Linked DNA regions of Schizosaccharomyces pombe. The protein of the gene in region 2 interacts with the protein of the main gene of each other region in a pairwise test. Each region holds a gene or a part of one and is shown on either strand. Other genes may lie near its edges.

Region 1 (4,275 bases), 1.2 Mb from region 2:
CTTGTATTCTTCCCATTTTCCGTCTCAAATTCTTTCCTTTGAATGTCCTCTGGATGGCTTTCCGGCAGTGATATATTTTCGATGTCTTCATCGCTTTCATAGTGACGGTGTGGACTTTTCGGGGAAGAACAAACAGAACTAGGCATTGAAGGAGGGTTATTAATATCCTTGTCATCTTCCCCATTACTTGAATGCTCAGACGGTGGTTCTAATAGATCACTATCACTGTTTCCCAATAATCTTGTTCCCTCATCCGCTTCGTCTGGTTGCAAACTAGGGTCCACTGGAAATCGATGTTTAGATTTACTCGAGTGTTTACGATCAGAAAATCTAGGCCTGTTCTGCATCCTAGCATTTTGTTTGTAATAAAAGCCCGTAGGCACTGACCGGGATGTATTGGATGGCATAATTCAAACAGGATTATGGATGCTAAGAATTGACAGGTTGTATAGCAATGAATGTATTATTCTTGGTTTATCAAAATAGTTATAATGCCAAAGAGATCGAATAGCGTTTGGTTTAACAAACTAACGGTTTGTGGATTATTTATATAATTACTCTATTGGTGAGAAAGAGAGGATTTCTGCCCACATTTGATTGAGAGGTTTGAATTTATTAAAAATATTTAAAGAATAATTTCACAAAACTCAAACAACAGAGGAAATGCCAATTTTTAGAGATGTGTTGTTGAGGTGTGGCAGCTAAGACGCTTATCATTGATATGGAAGGCAATTTTTTAAAGACCCCCAAATCATATACCAGACAAAATACAGTATCTTTAAGCATAGTTTTGTTTAATTTCATCAATATTTTTGAAGTGTATTTGTAAGAATCCAATGCAGCATAATTAAATTCATTTCCGGCCTACACATATTGAACCAGGTTCAAATTGGTGCAAATTAATTATTTTCTTGTAAGGATGAATAGAATTGGTTAGTAAATTCTGCTGAAGTTGCACATAAGAGGACGGTTTTGTTTACTAGACAAAATAAGTACCGCGACTTATAAAAAATCTTATCCCAACCAGATTGTCCCTTGTAACAATTTAAAATCCTACTTTTCGTATTACCGCGCAATCAAGTTGCCCACAACGGGACTGCAGCATTGCAGTAGAAACCCCATCAAACGTGTAAGTGAAATGAGCGAACAATAACCCTGAAATTATAAAGTCGTATTATCTTGTTTAAATCAACTCATACCTTTTTCATATAAGAATATCGTATTGTTTCAGGATAACAGAAACAATTTCAGGGAAACTTGAAAGGTTTATGATAAACGCAGTATGCAATTTTAGAACAACGAGAATTAAAAAACTTTACATTTAAGCCAAGAAGTATTAAGTTTAAAATACACAAGTTGAAGGAGCAATTAATCAGCACAATGTAATTTGATCTTTTTTGTTCGTAAAATTACCGTTTGCGGTAATCACCAATCTGTGATGACAACGCCGAAAAGCAGCTTACATAATAACACACACTTTTCAGCTCACTGTACTCCTTTGTAGTCAATGTAATATAATGGAATTTCGCCGCCTCCTACGGATATTCAAGCATATCGCATATGCCATCGAAAACTAAAGAAAAACGCCTTCTTCTTGAAGCTTCCTGCATAGAGTGATAAAAAACCTTCTAAAACTTCTTTGCCCCTAAAGTAAGCCTCTTGTTTCTGTCAAGCTTCCTCAATTATTGCACTCATTGTTTTAACTGTAATCTTTCACGCTTATGTTTGATACTTGGTATCTTGTTTTCGAAAGAAAAACTTATTGTAACATACTTTAAGACAGCAATTCCTCATTCAGTGAGTAAAAACGCGTTTTCTACCGAATTCCTATTGACACTGGGCATTTGTTTGGCATTTGTTTTTGGAAGCCTAATCATACGTGTAAGAAGTATTTTTACGATATTGTAAAAGAATAAGAGAGGTGTAGTGATGTTTCTGTTAGATATCCATAAATCTCAGTATAGTCCGTCATATATTCGGCTGACCAACCAACCTTCCCAACTTTCCTTTCTCACTTCTACCAACCTCAACTAACCACCGCTTTTAATAATTCCTTGCAAATATGAGTAATTCTCGTGAAAACTCGGTGTATCTCGCCAAGTTGGCCGAACAGGCTGAACGCTACGAAGGTATGTGATAAGGATCCGCTGTTGGAAGTAGATATAGCGTAATAGTACGAAATTGTCAATGAAGGGACCTTGATGAAAAGTTATTATATTGCAGTTTGCTACTGTATGTGGGAGTTCTTTGGTTTTTTAATATTGTTGGTCTTGAACAGGTTGCGTTGTTGAATGTTGCAAGGTTGTTTGTTTGATGCGGCTGAGAAAAAGAGGGGTTATGGGTTAGTACGTGGATGACTTGTGTATTTTAAAATGTCCCCAAAATCGCTTGATGAGGTTTAAAATGAGTTCTTACAACATTGTTTTGTTGTTGGACATGTTTATGATATCTGAGGTTATGGACAAGAACGGCTTGCAATTCTCTTGATTTTATGGTTTTCGTAATCATTATTTTTTGTCGCCTTTGTTCTATTTCCTACCTTGCTTCCTTTTTTCTCTTAAAACCACGATTGAACTGCCTTGATTGTCTTATCATTCTTATCTCCTCTTATGATTTGAGGTTTCTTTGTAACCACCAAGACAAAGAAATTCACTAACATCAGGAGTAACACGAAACACCGTTCTGTAGGTAAACCTCAACGCAATTAAGGATATTATTACCTTCATATCTTCACCATGCAATGATAACTCGTTTTGAATTACTGTTTGTTGACCCGTCTATACTTGGCTTTGCTTCTTTCATCTCTCCTTTTTGTTTTTGCTTCTTTGCTAACTGATAATGTATAGAAATGGTCGAAAATATGAAGAAAGTTGCATGCTCAAACGATAAACTTTCTGTTGAAGAACGTAACTTGCTTTCTGTTGCCTATAAAAACATCATTGGTGCTCGCAGAGCATCATGGCGTATTATTTCCTCTATAGAGCAAAAGGAGGAAAGTAGGGGCAACACTCGACAAGCCGCATTGATTAAAGAGTACCGTAAGAAGATTGAAGATGAGTTATCCGATATTTGTCATGACGTCCTTTCCGTCCTTGAAAAGCATTTGATTCCTGCCGCTACAACCGGTGAATCCAAGGTATTTTACTATAAAATGAAGGGTGATTACTATCGTTATTTGGCCGAATTTACTGTTGGCGAAGTTTGCAAAGAGGCCGCCGACAGCTCTTTAGAAGCTTACAAGGCAGCTTCTGACATTGCTGTTGCTGAGTTGCCTCCCACGGACCCTATGCGCTTGGGTTTGGCTCTCAACTTTTCCGTCTTCTATTATGAAATCCTTGACTCTCCAGAAAGTGCATGCCATTTGGCTAAACAAGTATTTGATGAGGCCATTTCAGAGCTCGATAGTCTTTCTGAAGAATCTTACAAAGACTCTACTTTAATCATGCAGCTTCTTCGCGATAACTTGACTTTATGGACTTCTGACGCCGAATACAACCAGTCTGCTAAGGAGGAGGCTCCTGCTGCCGCTGCTGCTTCTGAAAACGAACATCCCGAGCCCAAAGAGTCTACGACTGACACTGTTAAAGCTTGAAACTAAAGCGTTAGCATTTTATCAGTAAACGGATCCTAATGGTCTGATTACTTTTGCATATATGAACTGATACCTATGATTTATCTAATATTCGTAGCCATATAACAAAGTTATCTTCATTATATTCTTCTTGCACTTTATTTCTATCATTTATAAATTTATAACTTTGATTACGTTTCATGAGTAGTTAGTTTGGCTTTGTGGCCTTAAAACCATCAAAGCATACTATTATTATACATTGTACATGCGTTACACTACACCACCCCTTTTTTTAACGTTTAGTTTAGTATGCAGTAGAGTATAGTTCATTTGAGTAACGTTAACATTAAATAATCATGAATTAAGCCCAAATAGATATAGCAACTCTTCTTTGTCAAGTCTCGACAGAGGATTGTTTTCGTTTGAATCCAAAGCTTCTTTAACCAATTGACGCTTCTTACGTTGAACACTGACGATACGCTCTTCAATCGTATCTTTAGTAATAAACCTATACACGGTGACAGGCTTCTGCTGTCCAAGCCGATGAACACGATCTATTGCTTGATCCTCTATGCTCGGATTATAAAATGGTTCCTGTAGAATAACGTGATTTGCAATCGTCAAATTCAAACCCACGCTGCCGGCTTTCAATGAAACCAGCATGACTAAAACATCTTTATCGTTATTAAAAGAATGTAGGGACT
Region 2 (9,680 bases):
GAACGGATGAAAAATGTTGAAAAGGACTTTAGCAATGAAGGCATTTTTTCGAATCATAAAGCTCTTCATCCTGATGACCATATCTGTGAAGTCATGGTTCCATGGATTCCATCAGGAAAATCAATGGTGGATGAACTTAATTCTGATATTACTGAACTAAAAACAACCCTTAAAACAACTCTCTTAATGTATGGTGAAAATCCAGATGAACCTACATCGAGTGCTAGGTTTTTCAATAATTTAAACGAAATAATACTGGAGTACAAAAAGGCTAGCACTGTAAATCAGAAGATGGAGAAGGAAGAAGAACTTGCTTTTCTAAGACTACAAGCTTTAAAAGCATCTGTTAAAAGCAATAATGCAGAAAATAGTGGTTCTTCAAAGAATGAGGAAGTTTCAGCAACAATGGAAAATTTAATATCTCAGCTACAGAAAGGTTTGTGTGATGATTCTTTAAGCAACAAAACCGATTGCACTGAATCATCGAAACAAACAATCGAAACTCTAATGAATTATGAAAATGATAAACAAACTCTAGAAGGCTCAAATAAAAAGAGACAAACAGTCGTCCTTAAAGCTGAATGCATGCTTAAGCAGCTGGAGAATAACAATGAACTTAAGAGATAATGATGTTTGAAATGTTAATGACTTTTAATGACAATTAAATGACTTAAACAAATTATAATGAAATTATAATTAATAAAAGGTATAATTATTAATTCTAGTAAGACTGTAATGCTTGTTAAAGATAGAATTAAGCATCTAAAGGATAACTTTTCTAGTAATCTATTTTGCTCGGGAAATCTTAAAGTAATCAGTAAATACATCAGTTCCAACTTTTAATGATTCTTGAACGTCGTCCCAGGTACTACGCTTTTCCTCTTCTCGAGTTCCCCTATTTTTTTTGTCTTCTTTGAGCCATTCCAAACATGTCTCTAGAAGGGCGCTATTTCCCGTAGAGGACCTTGTCATCAGAGCACCAAACTTGGATATTGGTCCATAATCCACGATACGCCCAAGACTGAGATGGACCAAGTGAGTTGGCCACTCAGCTAAACCATCAAATATATGTGTTGCATAAACAATAGTAGCATTCCTTACTTCCGTTTCCTCTTGCAAAAAATTTAACAAATCTGCCCGGGCAAGAACATCCAAATCTACAGTTACTTCATCAAGTAAAAGTACTTCAAATGGACGCAGAAGTCCCATACATAGTTGAACACGTCGTCTTTCACCATCGGACACTGCATGCATTCGCCAACGAAGATCTATATCAAGAATTGAAATCAAGAAATCCCTACGTTCGGCAAATTTATCTCCTCCAACAGAAGCAATTAATCGTGCAACACTCATATCCCTATGTATAACAGGGTTGTTAACCCATTCTACAAACGCACACATCAGTAAAATTTGATGTTAAAAGAACTTACCAGTTCCTAAATAAACAAATGCAGAACTAGACTCACGAAAAGGATCTTTACCACCCACCGATATATGTCCTGCTTTCGCAAGCGATTTTCCAGATAAAAGTTTAAGTAAAGTTGATTTTCCTGTTTAACAAAATTCCAAGAGGACATCAGTTAGCATTTAAATATTCTTCATCAATTTCCATAACACCGCGAAACTTACCAGCTCCATTGGCTCCAACAAGTAAAGTCCTTGATCCTTTAGGAAGATCTAAAGTTACGTGATCAAGACTTAAAGGCTGCTTTGGAGAAAACGTGTAAGAGAGGTTTGAAACAGTTACTTCCATTTTGAAATAGAATGTTTTAACAGTAGTAAAATATAATTATCTAAGAACTTAGTTTTACAATATATAAAGGATCCAAAAAAAGGCGCAAATTAAATAACACTCAAACTTTGTGGGTTAGCTGGATTGTGTTTAGTACATCTGTGTATCAAGTAAAGTGTGGAGGGAATGCAGTAAAGTTGTTATAAGCAAGACCTCGTACTAATAAATTAGCTTTCCAAGTCTTTGTAAAGAACCTTTTTTAACTATTAAGTAATGCTGCCCATATTTGGAGATGCTATTAAGACCTTGAACACACATCCTGCGGAGTCTTGGAAAGAAAAATGATTAACATCGATGGAACAATTGGCAAACAATATATATAGGAGATAGAAGCAGATAACATTTGTAATCAACTACAATTTATGCTACATATTATTTGGCTTAAAACTAAGTAATAATACTTTCCTAAGGTCACCCCATTTCGTTTAAGACAACAGACAAACCTAACATTCGCATGGAATTTTTTAACAGCAGGCGGACATTTCTCAAATAAAAAAATATAAATATAATATTATTTCATTCCTGCTAAACGATTTTAGCTTTTCAACGTAGTATTGCCCATATCATTAGACTTAATATATTAAACAACAAACAAACATCGATATGGGCGAAGGGCTTTATATAACGCGGTACGTAAAATAGTCTTACCTCAAACCGTTTTCTCACACCGTGATTTTAATTGAATTAAGTATTACTATTTTTCGGTTCTTTAACCAATTGTTTTAATTAGATAGTGTACATTTTTCGTGAAAAAAAAGAACCATTAATATCAGCACTTAATTATTCACTTTAATGAGCAGCAGAAGAAATGACTACCACTATGATGGAAACGACCACCAGTATCGTAGTCCTTTGAAATCAAACGTTGATCAAAACAGTTTTTATGAATCTAGTTATAGGAGCCGACAATCCTACCATCAAAGAACAAAAACACCCAGATCTAGTTATGATTCACCCTCTTCATCTACAAATTCCAAGGAACACAATTCTCCCTATCATTATAGAGTCCCTAGCAATAATTCAACAAGAGCGTCTTTTGGGGCAGCTTCTACGGATACGAATGTAGAATTGCCGAAGATTAATCTTCCAGACTCGAGTTTGTCAAGTAAACTTCAAAGCTGCAAGTCTGCGTGCGAGAATTCATCCCAGAGTTTATTGAATGTCGAACAACAATACGCTCAACAAGTACATTTTTGGGAAAAAATTAGAACGGATATATACCGAGAAGGTCTACGTAGTGATGCAGCTGTAAAAAGCTTAAACGATTTTGTAAATAATGTCAGCTTCTAAATAAATTATTGCAATCATCGTCTGCGTACAAATCATTGAGCTTCCGCTTTGTGGATATTATTATGACTTTTTATTGAAAGTTTTATCCCAAACCCATATTTATAAACATGAATGTTTTTGTATAGCGTTTTTTTTTTTAAAAAAAAAAAATAAAAATAAAAAAACGCTTCATACACTCTAAACATTCTCAGACTACTTCGGTTCTCTCCCTTTTAACGTATAATATGCATTTTAGATTTTCTGAAGTTTCATTACGGTGAAAGTGCTGTAATGGACACAGCGTTCTAAATGTCTTCTTTTTTAATTTTCAAAAACAAACTCGAAAATAACAAATTTTCGCCTTGCATATCCAATAAACGAATATGTCTATAGCCTTGTTGCAGTCTGTCAATCGGACAAGTAAAATTAGCAAATATAGAGTCATTTCCATTACTTCCTCGATGATGGACGAGAAATCGGATCATGGAATAAAAGTCATCACTAATTATACTCTCATAAACCATGGTTTCTCCCCAAAAAGGTCGAAATCCATTTTCGTGCACAACTTTGGAACACCAACGAAAAGGAGATTCTTCCATTGAATGAACTTGGATCTCAACATAAGGGCTGAGAGTTTCAGAATTAGAAAGTTCTCTAGCTCTTCTAAGTTGTTGCCCAGATATGACATCTATTGTTAATTTTATTTTACGAGGAAGTCCTTCTTCGCCAACTGTTGTACCAATTATTCGTTGACAAGGTGGCTTTAACAAGTACCCAGTCGGAGGATCAGCTATAAACAAAGCATCATTTATTTGAAGACCTGTATCATAAGTTTGCCAGTTTAGAGCAACCATTTGCACACCCAGGCGCCAATACACCTGAGGATTAAAATTTGTACTTCCTACTCTCAATGGGCCAGGGTATACACGACACAAATAGCGTAAATTATGTTTGCTAAGTCTTGGAACCATAGCTTTTCCATGCTTTTTTATAGTCCTTTCCGAAAATGAGAATATGTGGCTATACGTTTTTGATTCCGGTAAAGAAAAATTTCGAAATTTCAATGATCGGGCATAAGGTGCAAGCTGTTGCAATTCCTGCACAATGATATTTTTCATCCGTCTTTTACCTTTCCTTAACCCTGTTAATTCTGAATTTTCTAGCTCCGATGATTCGGTAGTATCAGTCGAAGAATCAGTTATCCCAACCTTCAGTATGTCTGTCGAAAATTGGTGCAATGGTGTTGCTGAACATTTGACTTTCAGCAAAATTTTGTTCAGTAAATCTTCGGGTGAAGGAAGAACTGATTCGTTAGCGGTAACGGGTTTCATCACCAAAGTATCCCCAAATGCTTGTTTCATGTAACTAACCATTTGACGTTGTTGGTCAGGGCAGCAATGAATTTCCAAAGAAATGAATAATGGATAAGGTGAAACGACGAAAGCATATTTTCGTATAGCATCAATAACATCATTAAATTTTATCATAGAAGTAAATGTATGTCCATGACAAACTACAGGACCATTCGGTCCATCCCAGCAATCGATTTCAATACACTTGCAGCCACGCTGTAGCGAACGGATATAACCTTCAATTGAACTTTCTCCACCAAACTGCTTACCTAGTAAATAAGTGTTATGCGACGAAGAAATTAAGTATTCATTCAGTGGTCGCGACATATCTTGTATCACAGGAACTACTGGAGAATTATGAGGAGAAAGTAGAAAGGAAGTAAATTCTATCAAACCCATTTTTGAATCATCATTTGAGCAAAAAGAGACATACAAAGTCCTAATTGAGTCACTATCCAAACGAGCCTTTTGAGAAGTTGATAGAAAGTGACGAAACTGTTCCAAAGACATCTTGTCAGAGCCAGATGTATATTCTTTAAAAATATCTACAATCTCGGATCTTGTTTTTAAAAGGCTTACAAAATGCTGAAATTCTTCAAAACTTAGCTTTCCAGAATGATCAGCATCTGCCTTTTGAAATGTTTCTTCTAAAAACTCCATTGATGCATTCAAATGTAGCATTTGGCACATGCGATGCACGTCTCCTAGATCCAACTGTGCACTTTGCTCCTTTTCTAACTTTTCCCAGGGATTTAAATTCTCTGAATAATCTATCATTTTTTCACCTTGATGGCAAACGAGATTAAGTCCAATAATAAATTCATTCAATCGATAAGTTTTTAGACCTTCTAAAGCCATAATCCATTGATTATGCGCATCTAAAGTTGGAGATATCATATGCATAGCCTTTAATTTATTATCAGCACAATATATAATTGTGAACCAGCGTTTCTCGTTCTCAGAAGAAATTTTGTACTGTTCTCTATAATTACGAGCATCGCGGCCCTGTCGAATTTCTTTAATGTCATCAACACAAAGCTTCTTATAAGCTTTACCAGTATTCTTGTCCAGCATAAGATATCCAGATATAGGGTCTAAAGAGACTTTACGTTGGCGCACCTTTTTCTTGGTTATACGAAGTAAAGAGCATCCGTTTTGAATAGATTCAGGGACTATAGTAGCTAATAGCTGTCGAGAATTAAAGTTTTGATTCACCGAGCTCAGAGTAGATAAGTTTTCGTTACTATCGCATGAGTAAGGGTTCATTGAAGTATTTGTTCTCGCAGAATTCATTCGACCTTGCAAGCGTAGCAAAAGATTTAACTTCAGAGAAAGCCAATTCAATCCTCCATGGAATTTATTTTCTGAAGCTGATGTCGATTTCGTACTCAGAAAAGAAGATAAAGAATTTGATCGTTTACGTAGAGTACTATGAGCATCGCGATCCCTTGATGATAGCATCTTAAAGAAATCCTGCTCCGATTTCTTCCTATTGCCAACATATGGGAGATCCAAAGCAGCATTATCTAAGGTTTTACTCCTCGTCTGAGCAACTGCGTTTTCTGAGCAATCGGGCAGGCAAAATGGACTTACTGCTCTGTTGGAGTCTCCTAAGTTGACCGATTCAGGCGACGTTACCATTTCACAATTCATTATGATATCTATTTAAGGATTTACACCGCCATTGGCTTTTTGATCATTATGTTGATATTTAAAAGTTCTTCGGTTTTTCGGTTTTCATTCAGCAACAATACGCCGTGTATGTGTCAATAAAGATAAGTGGATAGCACTCAAAATTGCATATGAGCATAGATTCAATCCACCACTTTAAATCAAGTAAGCCTGATATTATTATAGGGACAAAAATTAGTTGTTTTCGGAACTTTTACCTCTTATATCGTAGGAGCTTACATCCGAGACTTTTGTTAACGTTAGTGGCAAGCGCGCTTTGGTTTAATACGCAATTATGAATAAGAACGTGTTCAATCACAGAAAATCGATTATCGGAAACGCTGTGACTATCACTAAGATGAATTGCAAACAATCGAGTTCGAGAAAACCGTTGGGCTTTATTCAATTGATCTGCGTTTTTGTTCACTCATTAAAAGCCATTTCTCTGAGTATTACTATGAATGGTTTTTTTCTGTTTTATTTTACACTAAAGTGATGATAGAAAAATTAATTTATCAATTAGTAACTAAATATTCGATTGCTCATAAGGAACTCACTGTTCATGTTAACGAATGAAGTTTAATATCGTCGGAAATTAATAGCCTCTCAAACATTTATTTCTTATACTGGTTTATTTTGTTCCCGATTAAAAGTAATGTAGATAATTTTCTCGGAACGTTTCTAAGTTATAATGTGTTCAGTCAACATAGTCTAATGGCCTAGTTTAAACTCTCATCCAAATAATTCTGATAGAGCAAGAACTTGGTGCAATTAAACTAGTGCATATCGACAGTCATTTTTATTTTATCAAACCCTAATACTTACCATTTCAGTAACTTAGAAGGTAACCTCAAAGCATCAACACCTTGAGAATCGTTTGAAGCAGTACTTAGTTTATTGAAAAAATTTGGCAAGGTTAACTCCTAAAGGCGACTTCACAACCATTTATAGAGAAGAACGAAAAATTCCAGATTGCAAATAAGGTGTTCATAGTATTTGCAGGCTTGAAACAACATAAAATCGATTTGGTCTTTAATGGAAACAATCAGAACCTTATTTACAACATAGGAATGAAGAATTACAGTAGCTTAATAATATGTTAATGTTTTAAGAAGTTGTTGTGTATTGCTGGAATTCATGGAAATAGTGTTACTATCGCATTTTATTATTGCAATATATTGTTACACGTTAACTCAACTATTTTCTATTAATTACAGTAAGAATAAGGACCCGTTCATCATGACTATTGCTAGTATTTTTTTTTACAAAAAATCTTCAGTAAGGAGGATACTCGTTTTTTGGGTGGTAGTGTTTTGTTAATACGCTCCATGCATGTACTTGTTGACACGTCCAAAGCATTGTTGCTTAGATTTTTTGTTAATGGCTGAAATACAGACAGCTCAAAATCCTTTAAAGGAACTGGAGAAAATTTTAGAGAGGAATAATAAGCAAAAAAATAAAAAGAGCAGAAACCAAGTTCGTCGAGAGAAAAAAAAATTACTACGTGAAAAGACAAATTCTGGTGCTAAATTGGCAGAAAAAAATAGTGATGACAAGGACCAGTTGACTGAAAATAATGACAACCTATACAATGATAAAAAATCTAATGGAAACTTCTATGATACAAACAAAACTGATAGTGTTGACGGGATGGTCTATACTACAATCGTCGATTCTGTAGAATTAGATCCTAATGATCCGCTAATAGAGCAATTTAAAGATGTCTTTAATCGTTTCAAAGCTGATGGTCAAGAAAAAGATTTCGAAGATACCGACAAGGGCCAAATAATGTATTCTGACGATGAAATTTTGAGTGAAGGCGAAGAAGACGCTTTACAAAAACAACAGGAGGAAAAACTTAGTAAAAAGAAATTGAGAAAGTTAAAAAGGATGACTGTTGCTCAACTGAAGATGCTCTCCGAGAAAGCAGATGTCGTCGAATGGTGGGATGTTTCGTCGCTTGATCCTTTATTCCTCACACATCTAAAAGCATATCCTAATACTGTTCCTGTTCCCCGTCATTGGAACCAAAAAAGAGATTACTTGAGTGGCCAAAGAGGTATAGAACGTCAACTCTTCGAGTTACCCTCGTATATTCGTGCTACTGGCATAGTTCAAATGCGTAATGCTGTGCATGAAAATGAAGCTGATATGCCTTTGCGTCAAAAAATGCGTGAGCGTGTCCAACCAAAAATGGGAAAGCTTGACATTGATTATCAAAAGCTTCATGATGCCTTCTTTCGCTACCAAACAAAACCGGTGCTAACCGGTTTTGGCGAATGCTATTTTGAAGGAAAAGAATTAGAAGCTGATGTGAAAGAAAAGAGGCCCGGCGACATTTCGGAGGAGCTCCGTGAAGCCTTGGGAATTGCTCCAGGAGCACCTCCTCCTTGGTTATTTGCTATGCAGAGATACGGGCCTCCTCCAAGTTATCCAGATCTTAAAATTCCCGGTGTGAATTGTCCAATTCCGACTGGAGCGCAGTGGGGATTTCATCCTGGTGGTTGGGGAAAACCTCCTGTGGACCAATTTAATCGTCCTCTTTATGGCGACGTGTTTGGTAATGTCAAACCTCGAATACATGCTGGTACAGGTTCGCCTGTGAGCACTCAGCATTGGGGTGAATTGGAGGAGTTTGAGGAAGAAGAATCTAGTGAAGAGGAAGAGAGCGAAGACGTAGAATATCCTACTGAAGAAATTACTGAACGTGAAACGATTGAGGAATATCAGTCAGCGTCAGAGCCTAGGTCACAGAGGGAAGATTTGCATGCAGAGCCCTTAACGTATTTTAATCAATCTAATGTAGAGGTTGACAATGTTGAATTACGAAAAAATACTCAACCAAGTAGTGATGCTGCTAATCGAGACTTATATCAAGTTTTACCTGAAAAATCTACTAATATCTCAGGTTTCATGGGTCCTCAGCATCAATACGACATTCCTACCGCTGAAGATACTCTTCCACAAAAAAGGAATGCACATTCCATGCTCTCATCAACCAACAAAGGAGATGTTGCGTTAAATCAAAGTTCTAATTGGCAAGATGAGCTTTCGGAGTTGGTGTCTGAGCAGGCTATGAAGGTTGGTGCTGCGAAACGACAGAAAACACAAAGCAAGAGAGACAAGTTTCGTCTTTAAATTATTATCTACAGTGTACATTAGTTAATCTATATGACAGTATTATTGTTAAGCTCCATACATTATTCAAGTATTAATTATTATTTGTAAGTGAAAATAAAAAAAACCCCAATTTATACCCTAGCTAAAATATATTTTATATACTGTTTTTTTGAAGATGGAAGTCTTTGTGACTATATTTTTCCTTGATCTTTGCACGATACTTTGATTTCTTCAATACTGGCAAAGATGGAGGAACCATTGCTCTTTGTTGTAAACTTAAATAGCGATCGGCAAACAAATTTCCTTCAGGCTTCAGCTCTCTAAGGGAACTAGTCAGCTCATCTCCCAACTTTATTTCAAGTGGGTTGTTAGGCAATCGATGTTTACCGAATTTTTTCTTCTTCAGTTTGATTTCAGTTGTGCTAGAAGAAACAGCCTTATTAGAGAATTTCTCAGCTTTATCCTTTTGCTGCAGT

What was found.
Region 1: the proteins of plc1 (region 2) and rad25 interact in a two-hybrid assay, tested with the Schizosaccharomyces pombe proteins (one study listed by BioGRID).

Annotation. Positions count from the first base shown.
Region 1 is NC_003424.3:3,582,567-3,586,841, reverse strand, and holds rad25 (14-3-3 protein Rad25), read left to right. Parts: upstream 1-2,000; 5' UTR 2,001-2,062; coding exon 2,063-2,129; intron 2,130-2,846; coding exon 2,847-3,592; 3' UTR 3,593-3,714; downstream 3,715-4,275. Other genes in the region: vacuolar CorA family magnesium ion transmembrane transporter Mnr2, read right to left, coding at 1-407; rrp1 (ATP-dependent DNA helicase), read right to left, coding at 3,926-4,275. UniProt on the Schizosaccharomyces pombe protein: Acts in cell cycle and stress checkpoint signaling by sequestering signal transducers regulated by the checkpoints. Required for the DNA damage checkpoint that ensures that DNA damage is repaired before mitosis is attempted.
Region 2 is NC_003424.3:4,804,172-4,813,851, reverse strand, and holds plc1 (phosphoinositide phospholipase C Plc1), read right to left. Parts: upstream 6,282-9,680; 5' UTR 6,067-6,281; coding exon 3,367-6,066; 3' UTR 3,083-3,366; coding exon of another isoform or gene 2,585-3,082; 3' UTR 2,297-2,584; downstream 1-2,296. Other genes in the region: formin Fus1, read left to right, coding at 1-627; CCR4-Not complex subunit Caf16, read right to left, coding at 787-1,385, 1,431-1,550, 1,630-1,753; histone H2B-K119 ubiquitin ligase complex (HULC) subunit Shf1, read left to right, coding at 2,585-3,082; putative U2 snRNP-associated protein Sap145, read left to right, coding at 7,465-9,222; rRNA processing protein Rrp16, read right to left, coding at 9,359-9,680.